2 linked regions of the Canis lupus familiaris genome follow. The protein of the gene in region 1 purifies or fractionates together with the protein of each later gene. This does not show direct contact. Links are inferred from orthologs where the notes say so. Each region holds a gene or a part of one and is shown on either strand. Other genes may lie near its edges.

Region 1 (4,271 bases):
CCATCCTTCACACACAAAATCAAAGAGCACTTTCCGAACCCTTAATGTTCAAACTAACAGGAGCTCATAAATAAGATGTGAGCAGAACCAGCAGTCCTCCCCGCTTCCCACCCACCCCCCACCCCCCGCCTTGACCTGAGCATCTCTCCCCTCCAGCTCCCCCTGGCGTCCTCTCGATCTTTTATCGGGGTCTGAAACCTTCCAATAGGAGTTCTGGGGTCTGGGGACTAGACCATCCCCTAAGGCGGGTGCTCACACCCACGTCCAGCCCCCAGCCCTTTCTCATGGCACATCAGCTGGGATTCTACGAGTTTCTGGGTCCAGGGGTCGATTTGGACTTGGCAGTCTCGCAGTTCACGGCGGGGGGGGTGTCTTTGGGGGCTGCGTGGGGGATTAAGGCCGAGGCAGAGCCAACCTAGAATGAAAAGGATGACGGGCACCCTAGTCATCCCTTCGGCGGGGGGGGGGGGGGGGGTAGGGGGGGGAGACCCTTGTCCCTTCTAGGTGCTGTGAAGCCATCCCAGTCCTTGAGGCTTAGAACGAGGAGGTGACTCCTCGACTCCCCGGGACCTTAGGGCAGGAGAGAGCGTGGCTCTGGCTCAGTGTCCCGCGCTACCTTCCAGGTGGCCCCCGGTGTCCCTGTTTGCACTATTCGTCCCCGGGGCTTGCAAACCGCCCAGCCCGGACACGCTCGAGGCCTCACCGTTGAAGCCGATCACGGCCTCGAGCTCCAGCTCCGCCACCTCGGCTTTGGGCGAACTTTGCTTCTCCATCCCCTGGAGCCTGGGCTCTCCACTCCCTCCTCTCGCCAGCGGCGGCGCAGCGTCTCCTGGTCGTTATGGTAACGGACGTGCGCGTGCGCACCAGGTCCGCGGCCGCACGCACTGGCGGCGGCGGCGCAGGGAGCTCCCGGTGCAAGAGCAGCCGCGCTCCTTGCCCTCACTATTTCCCTGGAGGTGTAGGGGCATTGAGTGTGCTCGTTCCCTCCACGGAAAAACGTCTGTGACTTCTTCCCCGACCTATATAACCAAGCACCGTGTCATTTAAGGAAGGCCGCTATAAAGTAATATATAATTGCCACTTCTTTGGGTCTCTTACTTGAAGCAAGATTGCAAGGAATCTTTAAGCTTTGTGGCGGTACACCTCTACATAGAAAAGTAACTCTGAGTGCGTTCTGGCAGATTTCTACAGTTGTGCAGCTATGCCCACCGTCTTGTTTTTGCTTTGAGCAGGATGACATTTCAGATGCTCGCCGGAAAATGCTGAAGATTTCTGTCCAACGCTTTTATTTAAATCGCGCCGGGTCGCTCGCGTCTCGCAGCGGGGGAACATACGGGATTAGACTGCTCCATCCTGGTGTTCCCCGGGGGGACGTGGGGGCCGCCCCCCTTTCTGGACCGTCCCTGCGAGGCCCTGGTGCACCCTCCCCGCCCTCCCCCCCCTCCCCCCCGCCAGGCCAGCTCCGGGTTGCGGTCGCGCCCGGGCGGAGCAGCGGGGTGTGAGCCGCGCCGGCCGCCGTAGTCCGCCGCCGCGAGCAGGAAGTGTCCGAGGGCGGCGGCGGCGGCGGCGGCGGCGGCGGGCGGAGACTGCACGATGGCCCCGGACCCCTGGTGAGCCCCGGGTGAGGGCGGCCGCGCCGAGGGTTCCGGGGATGCGGTGGGGGCTTCAGGACGAGGGAGCGGCAGCGAGGCCCCTTCCCGAGCCCGGGGCGGGGGGGTCGGGGGGAGGACCCTGCCGCGCGCCCCGCAGCCTCGGCGCCCGCAGGGGCGGCCCCGCAGGCGGGCCGGGTGGTCTCCGGGCAGCGGGGGGCGGGGGGGGGCAGTGCGCAGGCCCGGAAGGTGCCCGGAGCCCTGCATTGGCTCGCATCGGACCGCGGGCATTTCGCGCCCGGCCCGGATCCGCGCTGGCGGCTGCGGGCTTCCCCGGACTCCCCCGGACTCCCCGGGACTCCCCGGGCAAGTCCAGGCGGAGTGACCTTTCTCTGCGATGCGGCTGCAGCTGGTGACCTCGCCGCCGCCTCTCGCTTCACCCGCGGAGAACCCGGGTTCACAGCCCACCGCCACCTGCGCCGGTTAGTAACCAGTCGGCACTGGGACCTAGATCTCTTGGGCCCTTCCGAAAACTTGGAGGAATCGCGGAGGGGAATTGCGCGTGTTTGTATGGCTTGTGATGGGCCCTTACCTGAGTCCGTATCCGGAAGGGCTGTTTGTACTGCAGCAACTTTGCAGTAGAACCAGAGCTCATGAGGGTCGTTCCTCCAACACCCTGAGTCCCAAGGACTGGATGGTGACAGACACGAGCTCTCGTCCCAAGGAACAGATTGCTACAGAATTACGGACTGAAGCTGTTTTTGTTTTTAAGATTTTATTTATTTATTCATGAGAGAGGCAGAGACACGGGCAGAGAGAGGGAGAGCCTGATGCGGGACTCGTTTCCAGGACCCCGGGATCACGGCCTGAGTCCAAGGCAGACGCTTAACCACTGAGCCACCCAGGAGCCCGGAGGATTTTTGCTTTTATGAAAAAAAATGGGGAAAGCAAAAATAGCATTCGGTGTTTGTTTTGCAGCAAGCTGTCATGGAGACCTTGCACCTCCCAACCCTCCCCTCAAGCTCCTTCCCTGAGAACTACATTCAGCATCTCAGCGTCAAGCTGTCATAGCTTTGAATTGTGTCAGTGAGCATCCAGGCTTTCACTTAGTTTATTTTGTGTCTCCATTAGCAAGGCGTGCCCTAAGACATCAGAAAAGCCCTAAGGGAGGTTATTTTGGGGGGTTTAGGAAAGCTCAAAAGATATTCCGTATAAAATAATGGTAATTGTTGGTCCCTTTGCTTTACATTGTTTCGGCTTATGAAAGGTTTTGTAGAAAGACTACTTTTGGATAGTGAGGGAAACCTGCATGTTTTACAAAGCAGGGAACATTTCAACCATGTCATTAAGTATTTACTGAAAACATGATTTCTTTTTATGGCGCACAATAGCGCATTCTACGAATAACCATAATTTATTTCCCTCTCTGTAATGTTAGAGTATGTTTTGTTTAACTGTTGCAAAGACTGCCCCCGTTGTTCCATTTCTTATTTCCTCCTCTTGCTCACTGCAGACGGGACTATTGAATTGAACGGTATGAACATTTTTAAGGCCCTTGATACCTATTGCTAAGTTGTCTTCCACCTCCTGGAAGCTAACCCCCTCACTTTACACTTAAGGTAGGAAATAAAGCTCAGAGATGGTTATCCATTTAGACTGGTGGAAGCGATCATTGGACCCCCAAGCCCCTTCCCCAGTTTATGGAGAAAACACATAATGTGCCCTTTTACTCTCATGTAGTTTGACCTGGTGGCTTTCTCATTTGACTGTTGACCGTGAGAAGTGCGGGAACTCTGCTGTGTTAGTATCCACTACCTTGCACAGTGGGTTGCTAATCAGGAAGGTAGAAGGGACTATGGAACAGGGCTATGAAAAAAACTATAAACACAGACTTGACTACGTACAGCTTTGCCTTTGGCCATTGAAAAATTGTAGGTCAGTGATGCTCTACTCCTGAGTGGCGTTCTAATGTTCACTAATGGGATACAGCAGTGACTGCTTTAATGGCATCAGAGCAAGTGATAAGCGCTGTCTCTGAACTAGTTATTTGCTAAAGTTTTTTTTTAAGTTTTTAAAAATTTATTCATGAGAGACACAGAGAGAGAGGCAGAGACACAGGCAGAGGGAGAAGCAGGCTTCCTGAAGGGAGCTGGATGCGGGACTCAATCCTGGGACCCCGGGATCACACCCTGAGCCGAAGGCAGATGCTAAACCACTGAGCCATCCCCAGGTGCCCCTGAGATTTTTTTTTAAGTAAATCTCATACATAGATGAATTTGTGCATTCGGTGTTTTTATGGTAGAACAGGGGCTCAGTTCACAGTCTGGGAACTTCCTCCATGTCCCCCTTGGTGGGTCCTCAGTCTCTGCTATGGTGTCACCATCATCTAGGTCACTTAGGCCTGAGAACTCCAATCATCAGCTTTTTCTTCACTTCTCTTTTTGGGTTGTTAAACCTTTGGGTTTTCCCCAAATGCCTCTGGCATCTCTTTGATACCACCTTTTTCTGCTCTGGGCCCATCCTTTCAGCTCTGTGCCTTGCAGACAGTAGATACTGGTGACCAGTTATGGAATCACAGAGCTGGAGAAGTCTCCTGGTCTTCTGCTACTCCTCTCTCATTCCCAGCCTTTTGTGTAAACAAGTTCAGGTGGATTTTCCTAAACTAATACTTTAGGCACTTGT
Region 2 (4,168 bases), on another chromosome or scaffold:
AAGGCCCTAGGAGTATTTTCCGGAGCCAATATTTTTGGCTTAGGGAGGTCAGGTCCAAATGATTGTCAAGGGCAATCTTCAAAGGGAAACATCAGTTTCATGGGAGGGAAGCCTAAGAATGTGAGGGCTGACTGGGCCATCTACCTTTCTGTCTCAGACAAGGCCTCCAAGAATCAGCCCCACCCACCCACCCACCCACCCAGTCACTGGAGCCATTTCCTGGACCCCAGTACCAAATAGTGGAGTAGAGCAGAATCAAAACAGGGGGCTCACTTGTCAATTCCCAAAACAAGTGAAAAGGCAGACTTCCCTCCTATTCATTTTGCCCCCAGCACCACCAATTCCCCGAGCCCCAGCAATTCACCCTCCCTCTCTTCCTCTACTGCCCAGCTCCCAGCCGCCCTGCTCCCAACCTCTGTGGGTTCCCCATCTCACTGTGGCTTCCAGATCCTCTGTCTTGTTGCGGAGATGGTCCAGGTTTTCTCCTCGGGCCAAGATCCGCTCCACATTCTGGGTCATAATATTCTTGACTCCCTCCACCTCACTCTGCAGGTTCCGCACACGATCATTTCCAACACCTCCACTGGCCTCCTCCTGGGCAGCAACGCAGGGGTTAATTAGGCGAAGTGGTGGAGGAACTGAGACTCAGCCTCAGAGGCCAGGGGAGGGGAAGGCCTAAGGTGGACTTTAGCTTTTTTTTAATGCTTGAACTGTTTACAAAGAATGTTTTCATGTATTACTCATGTGATCAAAAACAAATGCACTTTTAAGCCCCAGAAGGTGAGTGCTGATGCTAGACAGACTAGATCCAGTTTCTTTTCAGGTTCTCAGGGCCCCTGAGGAGGAAAAGAAACACAGACCCTAAATCCCACTCCACTGTTGCCTTGCTCCTCAGATGGGGGCAGAGAACTGCTGAGCTGGCATCTCACAAGGGGGAAACCCACCACTATTAACCGAAGGATCCTCATTGAAAATATCTGTGCTGGCCAGCAGAACACCCTCAGCTGCCACAACACCCCCCTCACTGCTGGACAGCAGCTGGAGAGCTGCTCCCGCCCCAGACTTCCCCAGACCTCCGGAGCTGCCTAATTGCTGTGACCCAGAGCAACAGCCACCGGGTTCCAAGGCCCTGGCCAGGCCCCAAGAGGGAGAGCCATTGCGCCATAAACTTCTGCTTTCCCCCAACACACTGCCCCATGTGCCGGCACCAACCAAGCTGCCACTGCCTCCTTAAGCAGATATTAAATAAAAACAGCAGACTGGCTGTTGAGGGAAATGGAGGGCAAGTCCTCCCTGGCTGATAAAGTTTTTGAACAGGGAGGGCAAACCATTACTAGGCTCCTCCCTCCCTGACCCCCTAGACCTCCGAAACAGGCCAGGAGCCGGTCCAAACTAGACGGATTGTCACAGAGAACCAACTTCTGGTTCTTTTACAAACCCTTCGCCTTCTTCTCCGTGTTTAAAGAGAGGGGCCCGATTCCTTAGGCCGGGCAGAGAGAGACGGATTCTTGGAGTTTCTCGACAGGATAAAGGGAAGGGCCGACGGGGAGGGCTCCCGCCGCTGGGCTGGAATCCGCCCTGGGAACTTCGGAGGCGCTGCCCAAGGGGGGTCACCGGGCTCGGCGCCCGGCGGGCCGGAGGAGGCCAGGAAGGGCCTCTCAGCGGCTCCCGGCCTGGAATTCGGAGCCTCCACCCCCACCGGAGCCCCGCTCCGGGCCAGCTCCGAGGGCAGGGGAGGGAGAAGGCGCGGGGGCAGCCGCCCGGGCAGCCAAGTTGTCAAAGGAGAGCGGCCACCGGCTGCACCGGGCCAGCCCTCCGACTTGGCCAGCGGCCCTGCGACCCCCGCCCCCAGCCCCCCGCCCCCAGCCCCCGCTCGCCTTTCGCTCAGCCCCTCGCGAGCTCCCAGCGCGCTCACCATGTCTCCAAGCGGCTCGGGCCTGGCGGCGGCGAGACTCCCTCGTCTGTTTCCTCCCGGGCGGCCCTCGCTTCACTTCCTGCTCGCTCCAACTTCGAGCCTGCCCCCGCCCGCCGGCATCCCGAGCGGCTCCAGCCTCACCTAGCGCGGGCCGGCAGGTAGGCGGGCGCCCTCCGCTGCCCTCCCAGTCTCCTCCCAAACCTGGGCTCGGGCTTAAAGCAACAGGGCTCGATCACCAGAGATCTTCTAACGCATCAGAACCAGAAAAAAAAAAAAGAAAAAGAAAAAGAAGATCAAGCAGCCCTCCTAGGTTTCCTGAGGCTGGACCTCCTGATATAGATAGGGAAGCTGGCTCCGCCCCCCCCCCTTTTTTTTAATGTCCTGAATATCTGACTCCAAATCTTAAACACTGAAGTCAACTCTAAGTACACCACCAGGGGTAGTTCACATGGAAACAGAACACAGATATGAAAGTTTCTTGCTAGCAACCCCTGTTCCCATGTTCAGGGGTGGACAGAAAGTATTAAAATCCCCCCAAGTCTGGAGTGCTGTAATCCTAGGCTGTGGTGTCAGAAAGCTCCGGATTACTAGTGTGACCCTGAGTGAAATTCTTCACCTCTCTGGTTTTGGCAGGTGCTAATGCTGACCTCAGAGGATGGTGGGGACGTATAACAGGATAGCACACTCAGTGTGCCTGCCACAGTTTCTGAAAGGAAGACCTGTCCACTGTTGGGACGAGGGAATGATGGCTTACCAATCCCTTCTTCCCTTCCAGAGTTCAACATTTCCTTCAGAAGCCGCTTTGAGGGGTTGGTGAGCCTACTCAGAAATGGTCAGAGGCCTGCCCTATGGACAAGAGAAGGGCCCCAGGCAAAGGATTTTTCCACCACCTGGTTCCAGGCCACAGAATATCTAGTCTTCCCAGATGGTATTTATCAAGACAGAACAAAAACAGGGACAGGCAAAAGAGAACAAACATTCCTGTCCCATCCCAGAAGTATTATTAGTTCTTTTTTTTTTTTTTTTTTTTTTAGTATTATTAGTTCTAAGAGAGAAATGTCAGTTTCTCTAACACATATTTTGTTAAAGGAAATGACAATTTCTGGACCTCTGTTTTGAGATACTTTATTCTACTTTATAATGAAATCTTATCTCCAATTAAATAAGATTATTATATTTTGCAAATCTGAAATTTGATGGACAGTACCAGCCTACTTTCACAGAGAATGTGGCTGTCTCACTTCTCATCATCCTTAGAAAATCTATAAAGAAGAAAAAAAAAAAAAAAGAAAATCTATAAAGAGGTCAAGTGGAGATGGGTCAGAATCCTTGATCTGTACTTATGCTGTCCATTACCATAGCCACTGACCATATATGGCTGCTGAGCACTTAAACTGTGGCTAGTCTGAATTGAGAAGTGATGTAAGAGTACACACAGTATTTCTTTTTTTAAAAGATTTATCTATTTATTCATTTGAGAGAGAGAGCACAGGCACACATACATCAGGAGGGGAAGGGCAGAGGCAGAAGGAGAGAGAATCTCAAGTAGACTGCTCTCTGAGTATGGAACCCTGCACTGGGCTCAGTCTCAAAACCCTGAGATCAGTGATCTGAGCTGAAATCAAGAGTGGGATGCTCAACCCACTGAGCCATCCAGGCACCCCAAGTATTTCAAAGACTTTTTTTTTTTTAATTTACTTACTTGAGAGAAAGAGCATGAGGCAGGGGAAAGGGCAGAGGGAAAGGGAGAAGCCGGGAGCACAATCCAGGCTCAATCCCAGGACCCCAGGATCATGCCCTGAGCTGAAGGCAGACACTTAACTGATACTGATAACATGTTGAAATGATGTTGTGGATTTATTGAGTTAAATTTTAAAAATTGTTAATGCTCATTTCACCTGTTTCTTTTAATTTGATGAGTAGAAAATTAAAAATTACAAATGTGGCTCAAATTATATTTCCATTATAAGACACACTGATCTATGCATTAATATTCATGTGACCTTGGACAGACTGATGTGACATCTATAAACCTCAGTTACCTCACCATCTATGCCTGGCACTGAAACAACCCTCAGTAAATGGTGGCTATTATGATTACTATTATTAATGATTCCAGATGCTAAGTGCAGTGGTGGGTAGGGACATAGGATAGGTGCCAAGAAACAAAGTAGGATGTCTGAGGAGAGCATAAAGACATGGAGGAGGATTTCCAGAATAGAAATTAGGGTTACAGGAATGCCTGGGTGGCTC

What was found. The genes of interacting proteins can lie anywhere in the genome.
Region 2: the proteins of STX8 (region 1) and VAMP8 purify together in Homo sapiens (co-immunoprecipitation; 5 studies listed by BioGRID and IntAct, with this or other methods). This does not show direct contact. The link is inferred for Canis lupus familiaris from reciprocal best matches to the Homo sapiens genes STX8 and VAMP8.

Annotation. Positions count from the first base shown.
Region 1 is NC_049226.1:34,297,442-34,301,712, reverse strand, and holds the start of STX8 (syntaxin-8), read left to right. Parts: upstream 1-1,471; 5' UTR 1,472-1,593; coding exon 1,594-1,610; exon of another isoform or gene 1,611-1,621; intron 1,622-4,271. Other genes in the region: CFAP52 (cilia- and flagella-associated protein 52), read right to left, coding at 704-773. UniProt on the Homo sapiens protein: Vesicle trafficking protein that functions in the early secretory pathway, possibly by mediating retrograde transport from cis-Golgi membranes to the ER.
Region 2 is NC_049238.1:39,846,747-39,850,914, forward strand, and holds the start of VAMP8 (vesicle-associated membrane protein 8), read right to left. Parts: upstream 2,801-4,168; 5' UTR 2,670-2,800; intron 2,162-2,669; 5' UTR 1,919-2,161; coding exon 1,916-1,918; intron 595-1,915; coding exon 436-594; intron 1-435. UniProt on the Homo sapiens protein: SNAREs, soluble N-ethylmaleimide-sensitive factor-attachment protein receptors, are essential proteins for fusion of cellular membranes.